Ovis aries: one gene and its partners. The protein of the gene in region 4 interacts with the protein of the main gene of each other region in a pairwise test. Links are inferred from orthologs where the notes say so. Each region holds a gene or a part of one and is shown on either strand. Other genes may lie near its edges. The genes, in order: FAM3C, MFSD5, FXYD6, CREB3L1, TMEM218, GPR25 and PGAP2.

What was found.
Region 1: the proteins of CREB3L1 (region 4) and FAM3C interact in binary tests that used the Homo sapiens proteins (3 or more experiments, as listed by UniProt). The two-hybrid records come from large-scale screens. The link is inferred for Ovis aries from reciprocal best matches to the Homo sapiens genes CREB3L1 and FAM3C.
Region 2: the proteins of CREB3L1 (region 4) and MFSD5 interact in binary tests that used the Homo sapiens proteins (3 or more experiments, as listed by UniProt). The two-hybrid records come from large-scale screens. The link is inferred for Ovis aries from reciprocal best matches to the Homo sapiens genes CREB3L1 and SLC61A1.
Region 3: the proteins of CREB3L1 (region 4) and FXYD6 interact in binary tests that used the Homo sapiens proteins (3 or more experiments, as listed by UniProt). The two-hybrid records come from large-scale screens. The link is inferred for Ovis aries from reciprocal best matches to the Homo sapiens genes CREB3L1 and FXYD6.
Region 5: the proteins of CREB3L1 (region 4) and TMEM218 interact in binary tests that used the Homo sapiens proteins (3 or more experiments, as listed by UniProt). The link is inferred for Ovis aries from reciprocal best matches to the Homo sapiens genes CREB3L1 and TMEM218.
Region 6: the proteins of CREB3L1 (region 4) and GPR25 interact in binary tests that used the Homo sapiens proteins (3 or more experiments, as listed by UniProt). The two-hybrid records come from large-scale screens. The link is inferred for Ovis aries from reciprocal best matches to the Homo sapiens genes CREB3L1 and GPR25.
Region 7: the proteins of CREB3L1 (region 4) and PGAP2 interact in binary tests that used the Homo sapiens proteins (3 or more experiments, as listed by UniProt). The two-hybrid records come from large-scale screens. The link is inferred for Ovis aries from reciprocal best matches to the Homo sapiens genes CREB3L1 and PGAP2.

Annotation. Positions count from the first base shown.
Region 1 is NC_056057.1:87,488,010-87,491,509, forward strand, and holds part of FAM3C (protein FAM3C), read right to left. Parts: intron 1,527-3,500; coding exon 1,400-1,526; intron 803-1,399; coding exon 713-802; 3' UTR 1-712. UniProt on the Homo sapiens protein: May be involved in retinal laminar formation. Promotes epithelial to mesenchymal transition.
Region 2 is NC_056056.1:133,235,855-133,239,823, forward strand, and holds MFSD5 (molybdate-anion transporter), read right to left. Parts: upstream 2,774-3,969; 5' UTR 2,670-2,773; intron 2,092-2,669; 5' UTR 2,074-2,091; coding exon 721-2,073; 3' UTR 501-720; downstream 1-500. UniProt on the Homo sapiens protein: Mediates high-affinity intracellular uptake of the rare oligo-element molybdenum.
Region 3 is NC_056068.1:28,227,947-28,230,333, reverse strand, and holds part of FXYD6 (FXYD domain-containing ion transport regulator 6), read left to right. Parts: intron 1-410; coding exon 411-447; intron 448-1,449; coding exon 1,450-1,499; intron 1,500-2,055; coding exon 2,056-2,084; coding exon of another isoform or gene 2,085-2,106; intron 2,107-2,387. UniProt on the Homo sapiens protein: Associates with and regulates the activity of the sodium/potassium-transporting ATPase (NKA) which catalyzes the hydrolysis of ATP coupled with the exchange of Na(+) and K(+) ions across the plasma membrane.
Region 4 is NC_056068.1:75,250,612-75,254,111, reverse strand, and holds part of CREB3L1 (cyclic AMP-responsive element-binding protein 3-like protein 1), read right to left. Parts: coding exon 3,378-3,500; intron 1,189-3,377; coding exon 921-1,188; intron 735-920; coding exon 698-734; 3' UTR 1-697.
Region 5 is NC_056074.1:25,990,358-25,993,857, forward strand, and holds part of TMEM218 (transmembrane protein 218), read right to left. Parts: 5' UTR 2,559-3,500; intron 1,308-2,558; 5' UTR 1,225-1,307; coding exon 1,115-1,224; intron 31-1,114; coding exon 1-30. UniProt on the Homo sapiens protein: May be involved in ciliary biogenesis or function.
Region 6 is NC_056065.1:78,883,387-78,887,235, reverse strand, and holds GPR25 (probable G-protein coupled receptor 25), read right to left. Parts: upstream 2,479-3,849; 5' UTR 2,400-2,478; coding exon 1,275-2,399; 3' UTR 501-1,274; downstream 1-500. UniProt on the Homo sapiens protein: Orphan receptor.
Region 7 is NC_056068.1:50,010,720-50,014,219, forward strand, and holds part of PGAP2 (post-GPI attachment to proteins factor 2), read right to left. Parts: intron 2,969-3,500; coding exon 2,785-2,968; intron 1-2,784.

The DNA of each region.
Region 1 (3,500 bases), on a different chromosome or scaffold from region 4:
CCTGCCTCACTCTGAATAGCTTATGCAAAATCAAGTTATTCGCACTGCTAACACAAAATCCATCAAACTACAGTTCTGAATGCCATCTACATTTATATATTTACTTTGTACTGTATACATTAAACAAAGAATTCTGTTGTGCTTTTCATGTATTTGATATGTTTTCTTATTTTATTTATAGGTTTCTTGGGAAGGGAAGAAAAAGACTAAGAAAAGAAATACAACAGGGGAGTCAGACTGTAAAGTAACATTACACACACAACTAGCCCAATATCTTTTTAATTTAAAAGATACCATCATCAGAAGGCAATATACATATATATATGTAAAAGAAAACAAAGTCTGCTCCCTAAAATCCATATCATTCCATGATAGATTTTCACAGCGACTAGTATATATATCAATATATTTTTCATATCTGTTCAGTTATCCATTGGTATGCTTTTAGAATTAAAAGATGCTATTAGCATCATGGTCTGAACATTGTACCATTAGAGAGATGTGCTTGAAAATGGTTCAGTGATTTGCTTATGATGATGACTATTTACAAAGACAGCTATTTACGTCAGCAATAAATAATCCTGATATCAAAAGAGATAATGGACATGCACACACCGAGATGGCTGCATGCTCTTAAAATATTTACAGGTAGTTTTTCTGGTAGAGCTTTCCCACTAACAGTGAAAGTGTGCTCCCTTCAGTTTTCTCCAAGTCAGTCTTGCTTCTGGGGAATGCATCCTTCCATTTCTACAACTTCGGGCCATCCTTCGTATTTATTTGTGTCCTTATTGTTCTTTATGTGCTGTTGGAACACAACCACAGTATAGTACTTTAGCAAACTGCATATCTGCAATAACATAATTAAGCATACTCATTTCAGTAACACTTCTACTAACATATAAATTAGTGTTCAAGATATTAGATGAGCAATGCCTGGGGTCTGGCATACACTGGCAGACCTTCAAAGAAGAGCTGAAAGAACAAAACACCACAGATGGTCTTTAAAGATCCTTTGTAAGTCAAAAATAAGTTTACATTCTATTAAGTTCTAAAGTATTTCTGTACTTCACTGATTCTAATATCAAAAGTTCAGCTAAAATTTTTAATAACCAACTTCCTAAAGGTCTTATGATACAAGTAATCATAGGCCAATGCATTGTCACATAGGAAAAAAATTTCATGTATAATTAGACAATTTTTTTAATTTTAAAATTAAAATAGTGTCATGATTATTCCAAATAACTGATTGCCAGGAACCTATGGAAAATATGGAAACATATTATGGAAACATATTTAATGTCTGCTTTATCTAAGTTGCAAATAACTGGGATAGGAATACATACTGTATGGTTTCACACAATTGCTGTTGCCCATTAATTATGAAGTCTGAGACACTAACCTGTTCAAAAGGGCTTTTTGTCTTAATGCCTTTTCCACCACAGAAGACCCAGTTGTCTCTGAAACCAAGATGAGTAATAGATGTACTCCCCAGTTCAGCAATCAGCCGCCGGGCCTCATCATTGAGTCTTGAAGAGAGAGAAAAAGAATGATACAGTAAATGTAGTGTACTGTATGTGGTCTAACGAATACTGATACACTTACAATATTTAACATACAACCATGAAATAAATGAGAAAACCCTGGCTTAAATAAGAGAACATAAAAAAATAAATTTTATCAGAGTAACATTCCTACTATTTGAAATCTTTAATGATGAAAGTTATGAAATCTAGCAAATAAATTTCTAGCTTATGCTATTTAGAAGTACCTTTTATGTATCTTAATTTCACAACAACAGTTCATTTTCATCTACATTCCATCAAATAAAAATGGGAAACTGTCATTTTTGTCAGTAGGTACCTATTCAGGCTAATAGAAGCTCTTAAGTAGTCAACATCTTTGTAAAATTAAAAATCACTTTAAATCTCCACTACAGTCTTTATAAATTACATTTGAGTAGAATTAAGGTAAGTGCTAATAGAAATCTGGATGTTTCTAACACTATGTTTACTTATATCTACTTCATAACAGTACTTTTTGCCTGAAGAGATAATAACACATTTATCAACAGGAAAGTCCTGATTACTGATTGGGACTGATAACATTTAAAAAATAATTTTATTTGACATACAATGAGTTTATACTCAATTCTAAATGCAAATATAAGAGACCTGACTTTATCTGTTAACTTCAAATGTTTGCAAAATGACTCAAGTTTTTCAAATATTTTTAGGGCATTAAATATTTTATGTGAAGTATCTGAAACTGGCAAGACAGTTCTCATGTAACTAACCTGAAGATAAACAGGATACTTTATGTTAAAAAAAAAAAAAGCTTCATGAACAGGATAGAGCTACATATGTCATTAGCCTTTCACAATTAGTCACATCCAGGGGGCAGTGAATCTGTTTTAACCACAGCTTGGGCACTGCTGCCCTCCTGGGAAAGGTCATAAGAATCAGTGAGAAAATCAGGGGCAGCCCTGGAATACTAAGTCTTTCAGATTCATAACTATATCAAGTGATGCATTTATAACCAAGGGAAATCAAAATAAATGAAATGGCTGTGCAAAAGGACCAGGGAAGTCTGTTTCTGAAGATTCTGACAACTTCACACACAACTACACGTACTTGCGTCTGGCTTTCTCCCCAAAGTGGGTCTGTAGCTGTATTTCTTGTAATCATCCTTACATGAATTGCTATCACTTTCATTCATCTGCTTACTTGGTAAGCAATTTCTGTAGGAGATGGACATCTCCTGAAAGTACTATATGAACTGTTTTCTTGTTTCTGAAGTGTTCGTATGTCATGGATCTGCAAACTATTACATTCCATTCTTTAGTTTATTCAAATGTTCTACTGCTGGCCTCTTAATTAGAACATTTTACTAGTATCATCAGTGCTAGTAGTGAGTTTTGCTGCTTTATCTACAATAAATGGTGCAGAGCAGAGGTCATGCTTACTAGGGCAGCCTAGTGACAACCTCCTGGAGGAAGGCCTATGGGCTTCAGTCAGTTACATCTCAGAAAAATCACAAATTGCATCTCAGGGTGCAGGCTTCAGGGCTGCTTGTAAATAGCTGAATGTTAGGTTCACAAATGCCAAGAGATTGCTTTATATACAAAAAAATGCCTTCACAGTAGGTGTTTACCCAAATGCAGGCCTGGCCCCATGCCAGAAGTACCTGCAATTTTTTCTTATCTAAAAATTTTTACAATTAAGAAATATAATGAAGGGCAGTCTTTTCCTTCTGGATTTCAAATTTCAGAAATTGTTTTGATCTGCATGAATAAACTAACCAATCTAGCAGCAATGGGAAACTAAGCTTTTCATTTTGATTCTGCTCATCTTTCCTTACTTTCCTTTGAGAATACCTTGAGGTCCTAAGCAGAAAAGGATTACTATAGCAGGGCTTAGAAAGGCCTAAGAGCAAGACTGGTCCTTGACTGGCTCTGGAAGCTTGGATTTGGGGAGGGTCCCTCCATTCCCAGAACTGATCAG
Region 2 (3,969 bases), on a different chromosome or scaffold from region 4:
GTCTCACTCTGGATGTGGAGTAAGGTTTTTGCTTGGCAAATGGGGAGGGTGCCTGTCTCCAGGGTAACAAGATATGGAGGACCTCAGAGCCTCAGGCTTTTCCCACCCATTTCTGTTGAAAGGCAATTCCACAGTTCTCAGTTTAAGGTGGAGGCAGTCTTAGAGAGGGCTTCCCTGGTGGCTCAGTGGTAAAGAATCCGCTTGCCAATGCAGGAGACGTGGGTTCAATCGCTGGGTCAGGAAGATCGCATGGAAAGGGCAATGGCAACCCACTTCAGTACTCTTGCCTGGGAAATCCCATGGACAAAGGAGCCTGGCAGGCTACAGTCCATGGGGGTCACAAAGAGTCAGACACAACTTAGCGACTAAACAAGTCTTAGTGAAGCTAGAAAGACAAACGTTCCACTGGTAACCCCACCTCTCTCCTCACAACCTCCAGCTGCCCCCTCATAAGAACTACTGAGGTGGGTACAGGTGAGGATGAGTAAATGAGATCAATGATCAATTAAAATTGTTTATTTTAAAGTGGAAAGGGGGATGGGAGTGACACAGAGGCAACTTTTGGCATCTTCTTTCCAGGCCATCACCCCATGTGCTTCCCAACCCAAAGCACTGACAGGAGGAGCCCCCGGACAGGCTGAGGGGTCACAGAGAGATCTGTTCAGCCCTGGAGAGGTGGGGTTCAAGGGTCCATCCCAGCTCCCTGGTCCTAGAACAGGGTCAGAGCTCAGGAGTGTAGGGCTCCCCGGTGGGCGAGGGCACCCGCAGCTCAGCATCGTGCCTGACCACAGTGAAGAGTCCCACCACTGCCAGCAGAGCCATCACCATGACGGCGGAGCAGATGCTGAACATATTCCGAGTACCCGTTTTGCGATCGCTGTCATGGAGGACCAGGAGCCCCAGGCAGGCCAGTAAGTGCAGGGGCACCCGGAACCAGTTGAGGACACCAGCTTGCTCGGTCTCAGGGATCACTTTTCTCCGCAGGAAGCTCATGCTGGGAAAGTACAGTCCACAGGCCAGCTCGATAAGAAGGAAGGCTATGAAAGATTCCACTGGACTCTCCTGGCCTGGGCTGGTGGAGAACGTCAACATGAAGAGGGAGAAGACGACGATGAGGACAGCGAGGGAGAGTAGATGCATGGGCTGAAGGTGGTACCTCTTGGAGGTAGCGATGCGGTACAGGGAAGAGCCAAGTAGGCTGGCTGCCATGAAGCTGGAGAAGATGATGCCCAGCGGAGCCCCATGTGGGTCCAGCACAGGCGTCCAGAGGAAGACAAAGATGAAGATGACACTCTCAAACAGGGCCTGGATGGTGCCTAGCAGGAGCACACGACGGTCCGACAGGAGGCAGCGTAGGCCACCAGCACAGGTCCTAGAGAAGGCACGCTGCCGATCATAGTTCTCTCCCCAGTTGTGAAGGGCCAAGGCCCCAGCCAGAGCCAAGAGAGGGATGGCGGCCACAAAGGGCGCTACAGGCCCCAGGCCCATCCAGCAGGCCACGGCCTCAGCTGCCACACCTGCCGCTACAGCCAGCACATGGTTCCAGAAGGCAGCTCGGGCAAAGGTAGCCGGGATCCATTCGGCGGGGAAGTCATGCCGTTCCAGGTGCTCATGGATATACCAGGCCTCGAAGGCTGAGAAGAGCAGGGCTGTAGATAGCCCACCTAGCGCTCGGCCCACCAGCAGCACAAAGTAGTCTCGGGAGAGTTTGGTTAAGCAGCAGAGTGAGTAAGTGAGGGAGAAGAGGACACAAGATTTCTTGCGACCCAGCCAATCCACCAGGGAGGAAGCCACCAGTCCAAAGAGGACGGTGGAGGCAAGGCCACAGACGTAGAGGATGGCAATTTGTGCCTCCAGGAAGTGGTAATGCTGATACAGTTTGTAGAGGTAGGGGGCCTGCAGCCAGTCAGCTGCCAGGGCCAGGAAGTAGACCTGATAGAAGTCCAGTTGAAACCGAAGAAAAGAGGGATTGCTGCAGGCCCTTCCAGAGGGCTTAGCCCGGCATCTTGACAGCTCCAACCCCAGGCAGGAGGCCAGGAGGACCACAAAAGCAAGGTAAGCAGTCACCAGCATGGCCGGCCCCCGGACGACCTGGGAAGAGAAGGGGGCTTCAGAGTCACATCCATTGCCCGGGTAGCGCTGTCCAGGGGCTGCCTGTCTAAGCAGAAAGCGGATCCACCCAACCCCCACCCCTGCCAACAGCACTCCCCAACCCCTCAATTCCACTCCCCCAGAGCTCAGACCGGAGGGACCAGTTGGGTGGGTGGGAGGAGTGGCCCGCCAGAGCGGGACACTCTGGGGCAGGGAGGGGTGTGAGAGGAGAGAAGATTGAGCATTCGCCCCACCCTTTCCTGGCAGAGCAAAGAGGGAGTACCTAATCCCAGCCCCGCAAGTTAAGGGGCTGCTGCCCTTCCCCGTAACAGCGTTTACACACTGTACTTCCTTCTGTTACCTCCCATCCTCTCTGGGGAGCCTATTTTTGTCCTCGAGGTCTCGTCATCTGTCCCAGGCATCCCTACCACCCGCGCAGGCCTCTAGAGTTGCTTCAGGCCACGCGCGTGCATCTCAGATTTCCCCCTCCTTCGGGTCAGGGCACCCCCGCCTGCGCCCCCTAGACCCCGCTTGCCGCCGCCACACACGCTCGCGCCTTGCCCAGACCCTGGTCTCACCTGCTGCCCCGGTCTGCGGGGACGCTCCGGACACGTCCGGCTCCAGGCCGCCCGGCCGCCCTTCCCGCTCTACCTCCTGCTCTGGCTCCGGCTCGGGTTCCACCAGCGCGCCCGCCCCTCACAGCCTGCTTCCGGGAGCCTGGGAGGCCTCTGGCCGCCGCCATGATGGCCCCATCACGTGACGGGGGCGCGGCGTTCAAACCCCGCCCCTGCTCCGCCCTCTAGCCGCGACTCGTCTGCAACCTCCGGACGCCGGCGAGGCCAAGACTGGAGGCGGTGGTGGTCGCCGTTTCTGCTCCTGGTTCACTCCCATCCGTGGCCTTCCCATGACACTCGCTTCTTCGACTCCCGGATACCTACCGAACCTCCTGGAAATAAAGACCCATTTTCAGTCTCTTCCTCCGTGTCGTGGGTTACGGAGCGCTGCTGTGCCTAAGACAATGCCAGCAGTTCCGCAGAGTCGGGGTTTGATCTTCTTAAGGAACATCGTCACCCTAAGCCGAGACGGGCTTCTCGATTTTCTTTTCTCCCACGATAGTGACTTCCTGGCCAGAAGTCAGTATGGCTCAGACACCTGAGGGAGGCAGTGTGGTGTAAAGGACGTGGACTTGGCTTGCAGACCGCTAAGGCTCAAATCCCACCCCTATCACTTACCAGCTGTGTCGCCTCGGGCAAGCCATATGACTTCTCAGTGTCCCAGTTTCTTGGTCTGCATCATAGGAGAGCAGCGCCCAACTGAAAAAGGCTTTAAAGTTCAGTGGCAGTCAAGAGTTAAGAACTTCAGCCTTGGAGTTGGACGCCCACCCTCTGCTACAGCTGTGGTACCTGGGAAAGGTTTATTTAACTTCTTTCCAGCTTTAGTATTATCTCCTCAAAACCCTCCCAGGGGGAACTTCCCTAGTGGTCCAGTGGCTAAAACTCCTCCTTCCAATGCAAGAGGCCTGGGTTCCATCCCTGGTCAGGGAACTAGATCCCACATGCTGAAAGGAAGATCCCACCTGCCATAATTAAGACTGGAGGAAGCCGAATAAGTAAATAAATATTTTAAAACGAAACGAAACAAAAAAACCACCCTCCAATGGCTTCTTATCTCACTAAGCGAAAAAGCCAAAATCATAATAGCCTACAAACTCCTTTGTCCTCTTTTCCGCTGCCACTTCTCTGACCTCATCTCTTACCATTTTCCCTCCTGCGCCTTCTACTCCATCTACACTGGTTATCACTAGGGCCTTTGCACACTGTGCCCTGTGAAGCTCTGGTTCTCCCAGATATCCACATGGTTCCCTCCTGCAGCTCCTAC
Region 3 (2,387 bases), about 47 Mb from region 4:
GGTGCTCAGTGAAACAGCGAAGCATGAACGAAATAAGTACTCGATGAAAACAAGCACAGATACAAAGGGGCGGGGTGGCTGTATCCATCAGGGCGTGAGTCGGGGAGTCACAGGGGAGAGGAGACGGGGGCTGTCCTCAGAGGGCTCCGAGGCGTGTCCCCCTGCGTTTGTTTCCCCTCATGAGCCTGGGCTGCTTGCAGCTCTCAGCGCTTACGTGGTCAAGAAGACAGTCGTGTTGAACCTTGACATCAGAAGAGCCCTCCTCCAGCCAAGGATCGCCACATACAGCTGTGCAAGTCGTGCACTGCACAGAGTCCCAGGCTGCTGGTCACACAGTCCCACAGACTCACAGCGCAGCCCTGCTCGGGCTAAGCCGGACACTGACCCTGGATGGTTTCTTTGCCTTTCAGGTCGCCGATGCAAGTGCAGTTTCAATCAGAAGCCGCGGTAGGGATACCATTGCTGTGGGCACCTGGGGTGACGCTGGGAGGGCTCAGGGAGGGGCCCGTGGTGTGTGACCCCAGATGAATGATTTCTGGATTCTTGTCTCAGAGACAGGCCATGTGCATTGGGGTAGGGGTAGAAGTTTTGAGGGTTGCCAGGCAGCCTTGGGGAGAAGGCAATGGCACCTCACTCCAGCACTCTTGCCTGGAAAATCCCATGGACGGAGGAGCCTGGTGGACCACAGTCCATGGGGTCACGAAGAGTCGGACACGACTGAGCGACTTCACTTTCACTTTTCACTTTCTGGTGTTGGAGAAGGAAATGGCAACCCACTCCAGTGTTCTTGCCTGGAGAATCCCAGGGACGGCAGAGCCTGGTGGGCTGCCATCTATGGGGTCGCACAGAGTCGGACACGGCTGAAGCGACTTAGCAGCAGCAGCAGGCAGCCTTGAGGGCAAAGGAGAGGTCAAAACGTCAAGGGTCAGCCTGCCCTTCTTTCTTCTGATGTGTGTGGGGGGGGTGGGGGAGGGGGAGGATGCTGGATCCTTGTCTGGAGGCCCTTGAGACAGTTGAGCTTGGCCTCAGGGTCTCTCTTGAGGTCTGTCTCCTCTCCAGGACCTGTGATGCTGCTCTGCGGGTCACCTGTCCATGAGGCTCTTTGATTTTTGTGGAAATCTGGGCTTCCTCTCACTCCCCTTTTGCCCCTACATAAGGGCACACTCATTAGTCCCTATGGTAACCCAGGGCAGCCCTGGACCTCAGAAGTCCCAAGTCAGTGACAGGACACACACCTTCCCAGCACTTACCCATCTTGGGTGCCAACATCAAAGGGTGCCCATCAATTCCTCTGACCTCTCCCCCACCCCATGAGCCCCATAATGGAGAATGATCCACCATGACCTGGAGGAGATGAATCCCTGGGCCCTGCCCCAGCAAGGGGACTGGCAGTGCTCTCTGGGTTTGCCCTGGAGACCTCTGACGGGCTTGCATCTTGTCTGCCGGCAGGGCTCCTGGGGATGAGGAGGCTCAGGTGGAGAACCTCGTCACTGCAAATGGTAAGTGTTAAGACCACCTGCCCAGGTGGGACGGAGGAAACGGGCAAGGGTCCTTGTGCAGCTTGGGGTGGAGCATGGTTGTCAAGTGAGGTGGCTTCTTGAGAGCTGGCTGGCCAAGCATGTTTCCAGGTGCCAGAGAGGGGTCCCAGGTCCTCTGCTCTGTGTCATCCCCTTACCTCCACGAGACAGGCTGCTGTTCCTGACTACTGCTATTTACAGGGACTCTGCTCAGTGCTGGGCATGGTACAGAGTGTTTCACTTCTCAGTAATGGGCACACAGCCCCAGGAGGTAGGCATCACTCTCCACATTTTACAACAGAGGGGCTCAGAAAAGTTCAGGAACGTGCCAAGTCCTCTAACAGGCGAATAGGAGACAGGGATCTGCCCGGGTCTGTCTGACTCGCAGTCTGCATGAAGCACCCCTGCTCTGCGGGTCAGGCTCCCCCCAACCCCCGAGACAGGCATAGCTGCTGCAGGGGGGTGGCCCACTGGGGTGAGGAGTTCATTCCCCCCACCTCCATACATTCCCTGGGCTCCATTCTGGTTCTTTTTCCAGCCACGGAGCCCCAGAAAGCAGAGAACTGAAGTGCAGCCCCCAGGCGCAAAGGTAAGTGCTGTCTGCCCATATCTTCCTGTCACCATCACTGTTCTGACCAGAGTCTGGCTGAGGAGTCATCAGGGAGGAATTGGCTAGCTTTTGCAATGGACATGGCTTTGATCATGAGCGGTGCTCTGCAGAAACTCAAGCCTGAAGGGTGATGAGACAGATGGACTAAAACCTCCCAGTACCACACGCACACACACACAGAACACGCAGTTGGGAAATCGAGCTTCCTCACAACCCAGCAGTCAAGTTGCTCAGGCGTCATCCTAGCTGCCACGTGGGCA
Region 4 (3,500 bases):
TTTTGCCTTCTTAAAGCATGTGCTGAGCTGATGGGTGAAGCGGTTTGGCAATTAAAAAGGCCCAGCGGCTTGGGCAGCGGCAAGGGGGAGGCCAGGTGAGGGGTTCTGGGTGGGAGGACCCTCTCTCCTGGGCCAGGGAGCAGCGAAGCCCGCACTAACTTCATAAAATACAAAACAAGGGAGGGTTGAAGGTAGGAGGGAGACTTGTAAAATACAATATCTTAGGGACTGGCAATAATAAAAAATAAGGTTCATTATTTACAAACAATTTCTGTTCTTGGTCTCTGTACAGTGGTGGGGGGGGGCGGGGAGGGGCTTAGTGAGTTGGTCTGTTGGTGTGTCTGTGTGTGTGTATGTGGTCGTGGTGGGGCAGGGAGGCAGTGGTCCTCTTGGTCATTATAAGAAAGGAGGTGGGTAACCCAGTGAGTGGTTTATCTGAGAAGGACGGATGGTTGTGGGAGGGAGGGGGTGAGAACAGAGTGGTTGGCCCAAGGGAACAGTCCAAATATGGGGGGAAGGGGGGCCCCAGTCAAGATCTGGGGCAAAGAGGGGCTGGTAGGGGGTGGGGAGTGGAACCCTTTCTCCTGGGAGGGGACCCCAGGGGGCAGGGGTACGAGCCGGATCCGGGTTGGTGAGCAGGACGACCCCTCTTCTGAGTACCAGAGGGTACGCCCTGTGTCCTGGGTCTTGGCACGGCCTAGGAGAGCTTGACGGTGGTGTTGGGACCCAGATCCCTGGAGAGAGAAGAGAAGTCAGGGATGACTCTGTCTGGGAAGGACCCTCTGGCCCCTCTGCAAGCTGGGTTTGGACTTGGGAGGGATGGGGCTGCGGGAGGGTGTGGCTGACAACGCGGAAACCAGGGGTGAGCAGAGGCTGGGTGGAGCCTGGGAGCCCAGGAAGGGAAGGGGCCACCCACCCACCTCTCGTGGAACCACTCCTTAGGGTGGGAGAAGTCAGGGCCCGTGCTGTTCCCACCGACGTCCTTTGGCCAGGCCTCACTCAGGTACTTGCTGGTCTCATGGGTGCTGTCCAGGTGGTCATGTTGCAGGTGGTCCTGGGGTCGCTGCTCCACCGGCCCCCCGGGCTTGATCTCCCAGCCATCCGGGGGCTCCACGGGCAGCAGGGCACTGCGGCCATCCTCCCATGAGCCCGCTCCCTCGTCGTAGAACAGGAGGCTCCGGGAGGGCACTGGAGAAGGAGCTCAGGGTGAGCCATGGTGCCAAGGCTCCCTCCCCGTCTAGCCGCATTCAGCGCCCAGTGGTCATGGACCTGGGCCCTGGACTCTTTCAGGCCTGGATCTGAATCCAGCTCAAATGATTCCCAGCTGTGTGACTGCAGGCAAGCCATGCCTTTGCTTTCACCTTTCTGAGCTTGCTCATCTGTAAAATAGGAATACTAGGGGCCAACCTCCCGTCGATGTGAGGTTTAAATGAGATAACAGAGTGACTGAAGCTGCACTCAGAGCCAGTTAGCACTCCCTAAGCAGAGGGCACTGGGTTGGGGCATCTGAGAGCTGGGTTCTCATCCTACTGAACCACTCCCTTCCTGTGAGACCTTGAATAAACCTTTTCCCCATTTGAGGCCCCAGTTTACCCCTCAGGGAGATGAGGAAAAGAGAAAACACATTTGTTGGATATCTACCATGCCTATCAGACATTGTCGGCATCCTTTAACCTATATCAAATCATTAACAGAAACTCTCAGAATGAGATATTTTTAGGTGCATTTCACAAAACAGGCCATTGAGGCTCCAGGTTGTCAGGGGCGCTGTCCCGGCCTAAGGAAGATGCACTGCGGCCGAGCTGCAGACCCTGGCCCGCCTGGCTCCAGGAGCCACCAGCACCCTCCTCACTCTTGGGGCCCTGACCTCACGGTCTGCCTGAGCAGGGCCCCTGCCTCTGTGCGCTGCCCCAGCTCCGTGGGCCAGCCTGCTCCAGGGCTCACTTCCTCCTCTTCGCCCTGCGGGGACCCTGAGCCTGAAACCCACTGCGCTCACTCTGAGGGGCTCATTCATTCCTGCGCTCCTCTGGCTCCTCTGACTCTGCTTTTGTCCAGCAACACGCCTCCCCTGCCCCCTAACCCCACTCCCCCAGTTTCCATTCCTTCCTTTCCAGGTCCTCTGTGCCTCCCATCACACAGACCCCTCTGGCCTTAAGGAAACGGACATGTGCCTCTCAGGAACTTACATCCCTACCACCCACCTCCCTTAGCAACTGCCTCTTCTCTGGCTGCTCTGGTCCAGGGAGGGGTTTTCACTCCTCGCTTCTGCTTCCTCTTCCCCTAACCCTCCCCACGGCCTCAAGGCCCTGCAGTCCCAACTCATTCTTCCCGCAGCATCCCTCCTCCTTGAAACTCACTCCCGCCAGCTCCTCGCTCCCTCCAACCTCCCATCTGTTTCCTTTTCCTCCCCCTGCCCTGCTGGATGGTGCGCTCCAGGAGGCCATGAGGGACTGTCTGGAAGTCCCTCTGAAGGTCTGTCTGGAGCATCCTCTGCCTCCGGAAATCCACACTATTCTTCGCTGCCCCCCGGGCCGGTTCTCCCCTTGCCACTGCGTGTTGTGTCTTTTCTCTCCTCTTGCGAGCGCATCAGAAAGGGAGCGACTGTTGTTCGTTTAGTAAGAGCCTGCTGTGTACCAGGAACTGTACCGAGAGCCTTCATGCACCATGTCATTTCGTCTTCACAGCAAACATGCTCAATAAGCGTGGAACTGGTAACTCCCATTTTTGAGATAAGAGATTAAAATTTAGCATGCTTCAGACACATGCCCGAGGTCACGCACTTAGCGAGTGGCAGATATGACTGACTCGGAAACTCCATGTTCTTAACAGTCCTCACAAGCCCCTTGGGGTGGTAACTAGCTGAGTCCACACCACTCCCACGCTTCTGCCCATGACAGACGTTACCAGCGGATCTTGCCACTCCTGCCTGTCGATCCTGAACGGGGCCTCAGAGTCCTTCTGAACAGTGCTTCATGCAGCCACTAACATCTTATGGAAAACGGCCCTGGAGCTGAAACTCACTCGCTACCCCGGTTGTAAAATCTTGATGGTGGCTTAGCAGATGCCCCCTACCAACCAGCACCATAATACATGGGGGCTAGGGTGGGAACATTCCTATCATTCCCTAAACCTCCTCCCCTGGCCAAGCCACTCCTGGGTGGGTTGGGAATCAGGGGCTCTGCACTGTAGTTCTAATTCTATAACTAATATCAAACAAATCATAGACCCTTGGGAGAGGCCTCAGTTTTCCCATCTGCAAAATGGGAAGGTAGAATGAGACAGTGTCATCCCCAGACCTGGCTCCTCACTTGCGTCTGTCTTCTGCCCAGAAGTTGGGGCTGGCGTGGGGGGAGGGCAGCCCTGCTTGGGGCACTCACTCTGACTGGCGGTGTAGATGCTGTCAGTGGCCATCGGGTCTTCCTTCACAGTCTGGGAGCCAGAGGAGAACTCAGGGAGGCAGGGCACGAGGGAGCCCAGCACCAGGACGAAGCACAGGGCTG
Region 5 (3,500 bases), on a different chromosome or scaffold from region 4:
GCACCGAGGAACACGAAAACGGCAGAGAACCTGTGGCCCAAAGACAGGGGGTTAAAAGCACGGTTTCGTGTTGGGCTGCGCCTGGCTTTTCCCTGGGGCCCATATTCTGCCTCAGTCCACTAACAGGGCCCAGTGTGCTGCCCCAGGGCCACAGGAATTCAGAAACGTTTCCCCTTCCTCCCAAAGCCCGTCTTCCCAGACAGGTACCAGCAGGATGCATTCCTGTTATTCCTGGGAGTTCCAAGTCCCTAAGAATGGGAATTGGTGGGATTTTTAAATTTTATTTTTAATTGGAGGGTAATTGCTTTACAGTGCTGTGTTGGTTTCTACCATGCAAGGTGAATCAGCTTTATGTGCACATATATCCCCTCCCTCTTAAGCCTCCCACATCTCCCCCTCTAGGTCATCACAGAGCACCGAGCTGGGCTCCCTGTGTTATACAGCAGGTTCCCACGAGGCAGTTTTACACACAGAAGTGTATATATGATATGTCAATCGTGCTCTGTCAGGAATAGGTAGTTTTTATTTTGACCTCTGTGTGGTCATACGAAAACCCAAAGTGGTCCTTCCCTGATCCCCCACTGCTGTGTTTGAAACCAAAAAACTTTAGTAAATGATGTAACTTGTTTTGTACCTACACAATCTGGCCAGGGAGTATGACTCTACAGTGTCCTTAAGAGTCAGTTTAGGCTCTGATTCTTTAAGTCAACACCAGCCCAAGTTATCCACAACCCTTCAGCTTCCCGGGGCCCTGGGCTAGAGCCTCAGGGGCTGGACCCAGCACCTGCCATGAATCTCAACAGTTAAGAAACATGCACACGCGTGACCCCAAGAAACTCACGAGACAGCGAAAGCAGATTCTCTTTTCATCTCCCATGTCCTCATCTCCTGTGTGCTGCGAGCTGACATGTACCCCCTCCTTTCTCCTCCCACCTCAGCTTCCGAGTATAAATAACACAGTCAGTGCTTATGATAAAGAGGTTAAAATGCAACTCCTTCCAACTGCCGGTAATGACAATGAGCTCCTGAATTCTAAATGTTTCATGAGCGTCAGCGATTTCGCATCTGATTGCTTTTAGCTCGGACTCCCCGCTAGAGAGAGAGAAGGACTTACCTCGCTGCCCCTGAGGCTCTGGACAGCAAGGCACACAGCAGCAGCACCAACACCCAGAGCAGGGCGAGGATGAACACGCCCGGCCCCACGCCGAGCACCGTGCCAGCCATGCACGGCACAGCACCGGGCACAGTGCGACGAGCTGGTCCTGCTGTTAGCGGTGCTGCTGCGCTTCTCAGTGCTCCTGGGTTTCCTAGGGGGGGACACACAAAGTCTGAATTCATTCTGGGAAACTTCTGATGATTGGGGTGGGAAGAGGATTCATCAATATAGGTCTTAATAGGTCTCTCTCAGAAACTGACAGATCAAGCAGCTAAGAATAAACCCTTGACAGAGGATACACAAATGGCCAATATATATGTGAAAAGTGCTCAGCTTCATTAGTCACTCACTTCAGTTCAGTTGCTCAGTTGTGTCCCCATGAACTGCAGCACGCCAGGCCTCCCTGTCCATCACCAGCTCCCGGAGCTCACTCAAACTCATGTCCATTGAGTCAGTGATGCCATCCAGCCATCTCATCCTCTGTCGTCCCCTTCTCCTCCTGCCCTCAATCTTTCCCAGCATCAGGGTCTTTTCAAATGAGTCAGCTCTTTGCATCAGGGGGCCAAAGTACTGGAGTTTCAGCTTTAGCATCAGTCCTTCCAATGAACACCCAGGACTGATCTCCTTTAGAATGGACTGGTTGGATCTCCTTGCAGTCCAAGGGACTCTCAAGAGTCTTCTCCAACACCACAGTTCAAAAGCATCAATTCTTCGGTGCTCAGCCTTCTTCACAGTCCAACTCTCACATCCATACGTGACCACTGGAAAAACCATAGCCTTGACTAGACGGACCTTTGTTGGCAAAGTAATGTCTCTGCTTTTGAATATGCTATCTAGGTTGGTCATAACTTTCCTTCCAAGGAGTAAACGTCTTTTAATTTCATGGCTGCAGTCACCATCTGCAGTCATCTTGGAGCCCAGAAAAATAAAGTCAGCCACCATTTCCACTGTTTCCCCATCTATCTGCCATGAAGTGATGGGACCAGATGCCATGATCTTAGTTTTCTGAATGTTGAGCTTTAAGCCAACTTTTTCACTCTCCTCTTTTACCTTTATCAAGAAGCTCTTTAGATCTTCTTCACTTTCTGCCATAAGGATGGTGTCATCTGCATATCTAAGTTACTGATATTTCTCCTGGCAATCTTGATTCCAGCTTGTGTTTCATCCAGCCTAGAGTTTCTCATGATGTACTCTGCATATAAGTTAAATAAGTAGCTTGACAATATACAGCCTTGATGTACTCCTTTCCCGATTTGGAACCAGTCTGTTGTTCCATGTCCAGTTCTAACTGTTGCTTCCTGACCTGCATACAGGTTTCTCAAGAGGCAGGTCAGATGGTCTGGTATTCCCATCTCCTTCATTAGAAAATTGGAAATAAAATACAGTACCTCTAGGCACCTACCAGAATGGCTAAAATGAAAATGATGGACAACTCCAAGTGTTGATCAAAATGTGGAGAAACTGGAAGCCTTGTACTCTGCTGGTGAGAGTGTAAGTTCTTATTAGCACTTTGGAGACTCTTTGGCTATATCTAATAAAGCTGAATATGTGAACCCTAGATCCAGCTGTTCTCTTCCTGGTGTGTCCCCAACAGCCATGTCATAAGTTCACTAAAAGATGCACAAAAGTTCAGGGCAGACCTATTAGAAATAGTTACAAACTGAAATGACCTAAATATACCTCAATTGAATAGATAGGGTGAGCTTTCTCAGGTGGCACTAGTGTTAAAGTATCTTCCTGCTAATGCAGGAGATGCAGAAGACCCAGGTTCGATTCCTGGGTCAGGAAGATCCCCTGGAGGAGCAAATTGCAACCCACTCCAGTATTCTTGCCTGGAAAATTCCATGGACAGAGGAGGCTTGTGGGCTACAGTCCTTAGGGTTGCAAAGAGTTGGTATTATAGATACAATTTATTCATTCATACAATGAAAGAGTAAAAAGAAGAATGAATAGACCACAACTATATCCAGCAATGTGGGTAAGTTTTGAAAATATTAAATATAAAAAGCTAGAGGCAAGAGTTCACACTGTGTAATAACATGTATATAATGTTCAAAAACAGTTCAAACTAATTTGGGGGTTAGAAGTCTGGAGTGTGGTTGCCGTGTAGAAAGAAGTGACTAAAGGGGCTTCTGGGGTACTTATGAAATTTTGTTTCTTCAGCTGGATGTGGGTTACACAGCTTTGTTAATTCTGCTAAACTGTATCTAGCTGTCGGAGAAGGCAACGGCAACCCACTCCAGTACTCTTGCCTGGAAAAGCCCATGGATTGAGGAGCCTGGTAGGCTGCAGTCCATGGGGTCGCAAAGTTGGAGATGACTGAGCAACTTCCCTTTCACTTTTC
Region 6 (3,849 bases), on a different chromosome or scaffold from region 4:
AGGAGAATTCCTGAGTTCTTTCCTGCACTGACGTTTCTTTAGGCCATATCTGCTTAAAAGTATAAAGGCTGAATTCCCAACCCCTCCAGAAACCCCCAAGGATGCCGCAGACTCAGAACATGGATGCCCTTCAGCATTTGTCCTGGATGGGCCCAAAGGGAGTGAGGAGAAAGCTCCACCAGGATTTGACAGCCACAAGGCCACACTTCCGCTTTGAAGTGACACCTGGCTGGCAGCTGTGCTCCAGTCTTTTCCCCCTCCCTCTCTCTCTGAAACCTCCAAAATGGGAAACGTCCTTTAAAATAGTAAGAAGAGAAGACAGGCTGCCCTCCTGGGGGGCCCACGGCGGGGCCGCTGTCCTTAGCCCAACTTGACACCAAATCCTGACCACTTTGAGGTCAGCCTCAACTCCTGGATTGAGTTTTGTCTGACCCAGTGATTAAGTGGCCCCCTCACACTCATTTCAGTCCCTTACACTCAAGTAAAGGCAGACACAGCTGTCGGGTGAGGGCAGCAAGTGTTTATTGAGAAAGGGGAACTCACACTGCGGGGCCCAGTGTGGCAGCCGGTCAGAGCATCCGAGTGCCCGGGGACAGATGCTGGAACCCTCTGTCTGCAGGGAGGCACCCGCCCAAGTCCAGGGTGAGTCCTGCGGCTTCTTGGGAGCTGGGGAGATGAAGGACGGGCCTCCTGGGGTCGCTGGCAGCAGGAAGGGGTGAGCGCGACAGCACCGTGCTCCCCATGCTTTGGTGAGTGTTGAAATTGAAGATGCGGACGCGTGACTCAGCACAGCCACCAAGACGGCAGAGCGCAAAGGTCCGGGATTCTTTGGAGAGGAGCCAGAGGGTTCGGCTTGGAGAAGGTATTTCTCAGCAGGCAATGGCGACTGTAGGGACCAAAGGTAACGGGCCGCCGAGACGAGAGTGGCCTCTGGGCGTCTCTCCCAGGGCGCAGAGCAGGGAGGCCACTTCCCTTTCCGAGCCCGGGTCGGCGTGGCAGGTCCATCTCGCAGGACGTTTACTGCGCTGGAGACAAAGCTCAGGTGCGCACTGGGCGGAGCAGGAGGAGAGCGGGTCTCCGGAGCCGAGCCGGGGGTTGGGGGGGGTGGACGCTGGAAGAGCTGAGATTTTGGGAAAGCTCGTGAGGGAGACCCCGGGAGGCCCCGCGCACCCGGCGGAGCAGTCCGCTGCGCTCGGGGAGGTGGGGAGGTAGGCGGCGGTGGGGAGCGGCCCGCTTCGCTTCCCTGCGCCACCCGCAGCCCGCCGGCCGAGCAGCTACGGGCCGACAGCCTTGGGGGCGCTCGCCGTCTGGGCTCGGCCGCCCGCGCGGGCCGGGCTCCTGAACGGGGAGCCGTCGTCGCCGGAGAGTGATGACGCCGAGCTGCTCCAGCGCGCCGGGCGGTCGGCGCGCCCGCAGGCCCCGCGCTGCCGCAGCTGCGCGCGGAACGAGCGGTCGAGCAGCAGGTAGATGAGCGGGTTGGCGCAGCTGTTGACGAAGGCCAGGCAGGTGGCGACGGTGAGGCCCCAGCGCAGCGCCAGCAGCAAGTGGCAGGGCAGCGGCAGCGCGCCCAGGCTCGCCAGGTGGAAGACGGCGCGCAGGGCGCAGAAGGGCAGCCAGGAGCCCACGAAGGCGCCCTCGACGGCCAAGATGATGCGCAGCGAGCGGCTCCGCGCGCGGCCCAGGTGCGGCGGCCCGCGCAGGCGGCGCGACACGCGGCAGTAGCAGACGACGGTGACGGCCAGGGGCAGCACCAGGGTCAGCAGCAGCAGCAGCAGGCTCAGGCCCTGGAAGGCGTCCGACGGCTCCTCCCCGCACTGGCTGCCGTGGCCCCCGCCGGGCAGCGGCCGCAGGCGGCGGAAGGCCAGCGACGGCAGGCCGGCGGCCAGCGCCGCGGCCCACACGCCCGCGCAGGCGGCCAGCGCGCAGCGCCGGGAGCGCGGGGAGCGCGCGGCCAGCGGGCGGCCCACGGCCAGGTAGCGGTCCACGCTGAGGCCGGCCAGCAGCAGGGCGCCCGCGCAGCGCGTGCCGGCCAGCGCGAAGCTGCTGAGCTTACACAGGCCCTCGCCGAAGGGCCAGCGGCCACCCCGCGCCGCCGCCGCGGCCCACAGCGGCAGCGTGAGCAGGAAGCCCAGGTCGGCGGCCGCCAGGTGCTGCACGAAGGTGTCCACGAGCCGCCGCGGGCCGCGCGCCCCGGACAGCAGCCACAGCACGAAGGCGTTGCCCGGCAGGCCCACGGCGAAGGCCGCCAGGTAGAGCGCAGGGATGTAGGCGTGGCTGTAGGGCAGGTCCCGCGCCGCACACAGCTCCTCCAGCTCCAGCTCGCCCGGTGCGCCCGACCCCGAGTAATAGTCCCAGGGCGCCGTCCCCGCGCTGGGGCTCCAGGGCTCCGTGGGGCTCATGGCCGGAGACGCCCGGTGGCGGTAGCGGGGCCAAGAGGGAAGGTGGCTCTTCACGGCCCGTGCCCAGCCCAGCACCTCCCTTCCTGCCGCCGCGGGCCGAGGCGAATGGGTGGGCAGGAAGGGGTGGGGGCGGGGGAGGGGCAGGTGCCTGGGAAGAGAGGGGGGCGAGATTCGCGGTGGGGCGGAGGGCCGGGGAGGTGGCTTCCCAGCTGGGTCTTTGGAAGAAAAGCTCCCGGCTGGATCTGCGCCCTGCCTCCCGTGGGAGCCTGACCTGTCCCTCATCAGTCACTGGTTTTATTGAACTAGGAGTGTCAACGGTTTCAGGGCCCGGAGGCCCGGTAGAACAGGCGCTCAGAGCCTCAGTCCCTCTCACCCCTTCTTGGCTACCGGCTACTGTCTGTCTCTCTCTTAGGATTTTCCCCAAGGAGGTGCCAGCTGCCAAGATTCCCCTGGCCTCTTTGCAGAGCCGGCGCGTGGAGGGAGCCTGCCCTTGGGGGCCTCCCTACAGTCAGGGGCTGAATACCAGACTCTCCGATGCCGTTAGCTCCCTGAGCTGCTGGGTCTGGTGTCTTAGCCCAGGGTGGCATTTCTGACCAGCTCAGGTTCTCAGGGAGCCACGGGGAGGGTTTGCACCTGAAGAGGGAGGGTCAGCCTGTCCAGATGAGGCAGCAAAGCCTGGAATCTAGACCCCAGCCCTTCCCCACCTTCCTTCCTGGGCAGAACCTACCTAACGGAGCCTATGGGTGCTAGGCCCGGAGCGCAAGATGGAGCAGGACTCAGCGGCAGAGGCGTTGTCCTCAACCAGGAGTCGGGAGTTTCAGAGGAGGACGGGATCCCTTGTGGACTGAGAGGCAGGAAGGATTCAGAGAGAAGGGTGGGCATGTAGCCTGGCCTTGGAGGCGGCGGTGGGCCAGGGACAGGATGGGGGCAGGGTTCCCGAGGATGCTGGGCATTGTCGGGCCTCAGCTCCTCTTGGCACGTCCTCCCGCGAGCTGCTGCAGTGAGCTGTGACAGTGAGTCCTCCACAGAGCCGTGCCTCATTGTCACCAGGAGTGGATGAGCGGTTGGGTCATCTGGCGTTAAAAATTCGAGGAGGGTTATTTTTCCATTTTATTCCGTACAGCCCTGTTACAGCAACCGCCTCCGTGTGGCAGGCCCCGTTTTGGGTGTCACAGGAGATGCCGGTTTTGACCTTGGAGGGTCACTAATCAGGCCCCAGAGACAGATCTGTATGTCCCATGTGCAGTGGCCGGCGTGCCAGAGGTCACACGTCCTGGTGTGAAGGTTAATGAAGTCCCCCTGGAGCTCGGAGGAGGGGGCAGCCCCTCTGACTGAGGAGGAAGTCCTGGGTCTTTCCTGGCACCCGAGGTGGGGACTGAGAGGCCCCTGGACACGCGGAGGGGGCAGAGCCCACCTGCACCCTCAGGGCAAGTTAGTGCCAAGCTGTGGA
Region 7 (3,500 bases), about 25 Mb from region 4:
GAATCTGAAAATCTGCATTTCTAAAGGACTCCATAACTATGGAAGTTACCAGTCTGTTGCCCACACTTTCTGTGGACTCTTTTATTTTTTTTATTTTTATTTTTTTTTCTGTGGACTCTTTTAGACCTTCAACAAGAGCCAGAGCAGTACCAGAGCCCAGAAACCCAGAGAGCGAATGACCCTGCTGTGATGATAGCAGGACCAGTCTTCATAGTGGAGTTCTGGAAGATCCCTTCCTGTCTGCCAGTGGGGATGCTGAATGGACCTCAGAGTGGCTGGGAAGGCAGGCAATAACAGAAGCAGCTCACGGGGCCGGGGAGGGCCTGGGGTGGGACCAGCCAGAGCCTTCTCAAGCCTTCACAGAAAAGGAGATGGATTCCCCCCAGCACTGTCAGAGGCAGCTCAGTGCAGAGCTTTCAGAGTGTGATGCTCTCAAGGTACAACTTGAGATACTAAAGCTCAAGATCAGTCTCAGATATTCAGTGATAAGGCAGCTTGGAGGCAATGAGTGTGCATCCCAGCTCTGCCTTTCTAAGCTGGGTGACCTTGAGCAAGTCACTTTACCTCTCTGAGCTTTTCCTCATTGGCAAAATAGGGATATCACCTGCCTTGCAGGGTGATGGTGAATACTAAATACAATGTATGCAAGGCATCTGCAGTGAGTATAAGCAATGGCTTTCAGAAGACAAACTTTCCCAAAAAGCCTGCAAAAAAATATGTGATCTATGTGGCTACTGACCATGGGAAGGCCGGCTTCTGAGTGACAGGTGGGAGTCATATCTGGACTGGACACTGCTGAGACCTCCAAGCCTCTTCACTTGACTTTCCTGCTTCTCTGGGTAGGTCCCCTGTGTAGGGTTAGTGGGAGTGTTGTCTTCACTTCCTAGAATATTCATTCTGAAAACTCCTGCCCCAACCTCAGCTACTTTAAGAACTGTACCAACATCTAAGGCTTGGCTGGGAGAACTCAGAGCACTCAAGGGCCCAGAGCCCTGACTGATGCTGGGAAATAGGTAAAGGGTAGAGATGACACAGAGTTTGGGGGGATGCCTCAGGAGGATTAGAGAATTAGGGCCCTGTGGCTACTCGTCCCATCCTCGCAAGCTCCTCTCAGGTTAGGGGTGGGCACAGCATTCAAAGAGTAAGAACTGCCTCCCTCTTCAACTCACTCAAACTCTCTCTCTCTCACACATACACATACACAATCAGGTATAGGTACTCATATTCACCCCTGCCATCCCAAGTACTAACGTTCCCTACTCACCAACTATGCCAGCAACAAGCAACATAGAATCTATCAGAGCCTAGGTACACAGTACCCAAATCCCCCTCCCCAAAAAGCCCAGAGCTAAGGGTACTGAGAGATGGGAGCATAATTCCTTTCCCCAAGAGTAGAAACCCTTTGGCCTGGAGGACATGACTCAGTGGATCTATGGCAGGGCAGCAGATCAGAAATTCACACGGTGTAAAGGGAAGGGGTCCAAAAACTTCCTTATCATAGCATCTCATGTTTCACCATTAGAGATTCATTCTTTTGGCCTCAGATAAAAGTCCCCTGACTTTTATGGATGACCTTTCTTTATTTCCTACCACCCATTCTCTTCCCTATCCCTTGCCAACTGGATAAAAACTCCTATTCCTATCACAACGCAGAGTACTAACCACTATATGTTCACAGCTCCCATTTCTATCAGAACTACCTGCTACTCCTCTCTGAACTCCATCCCCTTTTCTCTAACCTCATAGTCCCCATCTCAGCTGGAACCTCCTGTACCATGAACTAAACCCCTGTACCCTGCCCTTGCCCTGTTGCCCTTAAATCTGTTCTGCACACAGGAGCCAGAATGGTCTTCTAAACCTCAAATCTGATCATGTCCCTTTCTTGCTTAAAATCTTTCCAAAGCTCCCCATTGTCCCCTGGATAAAATCAAAAGTTGTCAACCTGGCACTCATGAAAATCCTTCTTCACCCCCACAGCAACAATTCCCACCCACACCACCCCTACCGGACTCTCACTCCCCTCCCCTCACCCCGACCGTCACTCCAGGAAGAAGTCTCTGATTTCTGAGCTGGGTGAAGAGCTTCTTCTGAACCCACCAACTCTATGCTCCTTTTATCACAGAAGGAATCTCATCTCACAGTGCTGGGAACATCTGTGCCTAAGTCTGTCTCTTGCAGGAAAAAGATGCTAAGGGCAAGTCCATGTTCAACTCCATGCCCCTGATACAGAACCTGCGTCCCTCTGGGCCCTCAGGAAAGGCTTGGTGGACTGCTCTTAGAAGCAGGGGCTCCTTCTAGGTTTCCAGCTGGCAGAGCTCTGAGGATTCAGGTTGTGGGGCCTGAGATTGCCAGAGGAGAAACCAAGCTAGAAGAACCCAAGGCAGCCCAGGGCAGGACCTCTTGTCTGGGCTAAAGCCACTCATTACTTCTCCTCACTCCTGGCCTCATCTTAGCCCACAGTCCTGGCTTCTTTTCCAGTCTGGTCTTTCTTCAGCCCTCTTCTCCCTTTCGAGATCTCTCCTGCCTATTCCCTCTCTTCCCTTCCCCCTCCTCCCCTTCTGCCACCTTGTACCCTCTACAATCCTCTTCTAGTCTTGGAGGACTGTGAATCTACTTTCCCTGGCTCTCTCTCCCCAAAACACACCCCCTGACTTCCCCCGACCCCACCATCCTTTTTTCCCCCTCCCCTCTCACCCTGTGCCTTCTCTCCGACTCTGACATTCTACCCTTATCACCATCTCTTGAACTGGCCCTGACCCAGGCACTGGGGAGCCTGGCACTCACCCCACAGTCAGTGGCCACTGTGTACTCAAAGTGGAACACCAGAGACCAGATGATGCAGAAGAAGAAGCCGAACACAGGGAAAGTGATGACCCATGAGACCATGGCTTTGAAGCTGAGCCGGAACACAGTCCCATCGGGGTCCAAGGGCTGGGAGGCCGCAGAGAACATCCTGTAGGGAGTGGTGCTCAGGCAGGGCAAGGGACACAACTTGGGGCCTGGTGGGGATACCTGGGCCTGGGAAAGTGGGGCATTTTCTAGAGCTAGCTCCTCAGAGGGCAGGGAAAAGGCAGAGTAAAAGAATAGGAAGGGCATAAAGGAAAAAGAAAAGTGCAGAAGAGGAGGTATAAGGGGGAAGGGCCAGGACAGCAGAGAGAGGCAGGGTCAGCTCATTGGAGTCCCCTTGGCACACTGCTCTTGTAGGTTCACCTCTGGAAAAGTCTGGAGAATCGAGGCTCCCAGTGGCCTGCACATGGGACTTCTGATGGCCTGCCTCATTCCCATGACCCTCAGGAAAAGGGTCAGAGGATGGAAGGGTTATTCTTCCCATATCACAGAAGGGAAGACCGAGGCCCAGAACTATGCAAGGATCAAACATTAGGACTAAGGCCTCTTGCCACCTGACAGCTTAAGTCTCCAAGCCAAGGCCTTCTTCAGGGCAAGTAACCCAGACAAAGGACCCTTGGCTCAGACTGGCCCAAGCTCTCCTACTGACCCTG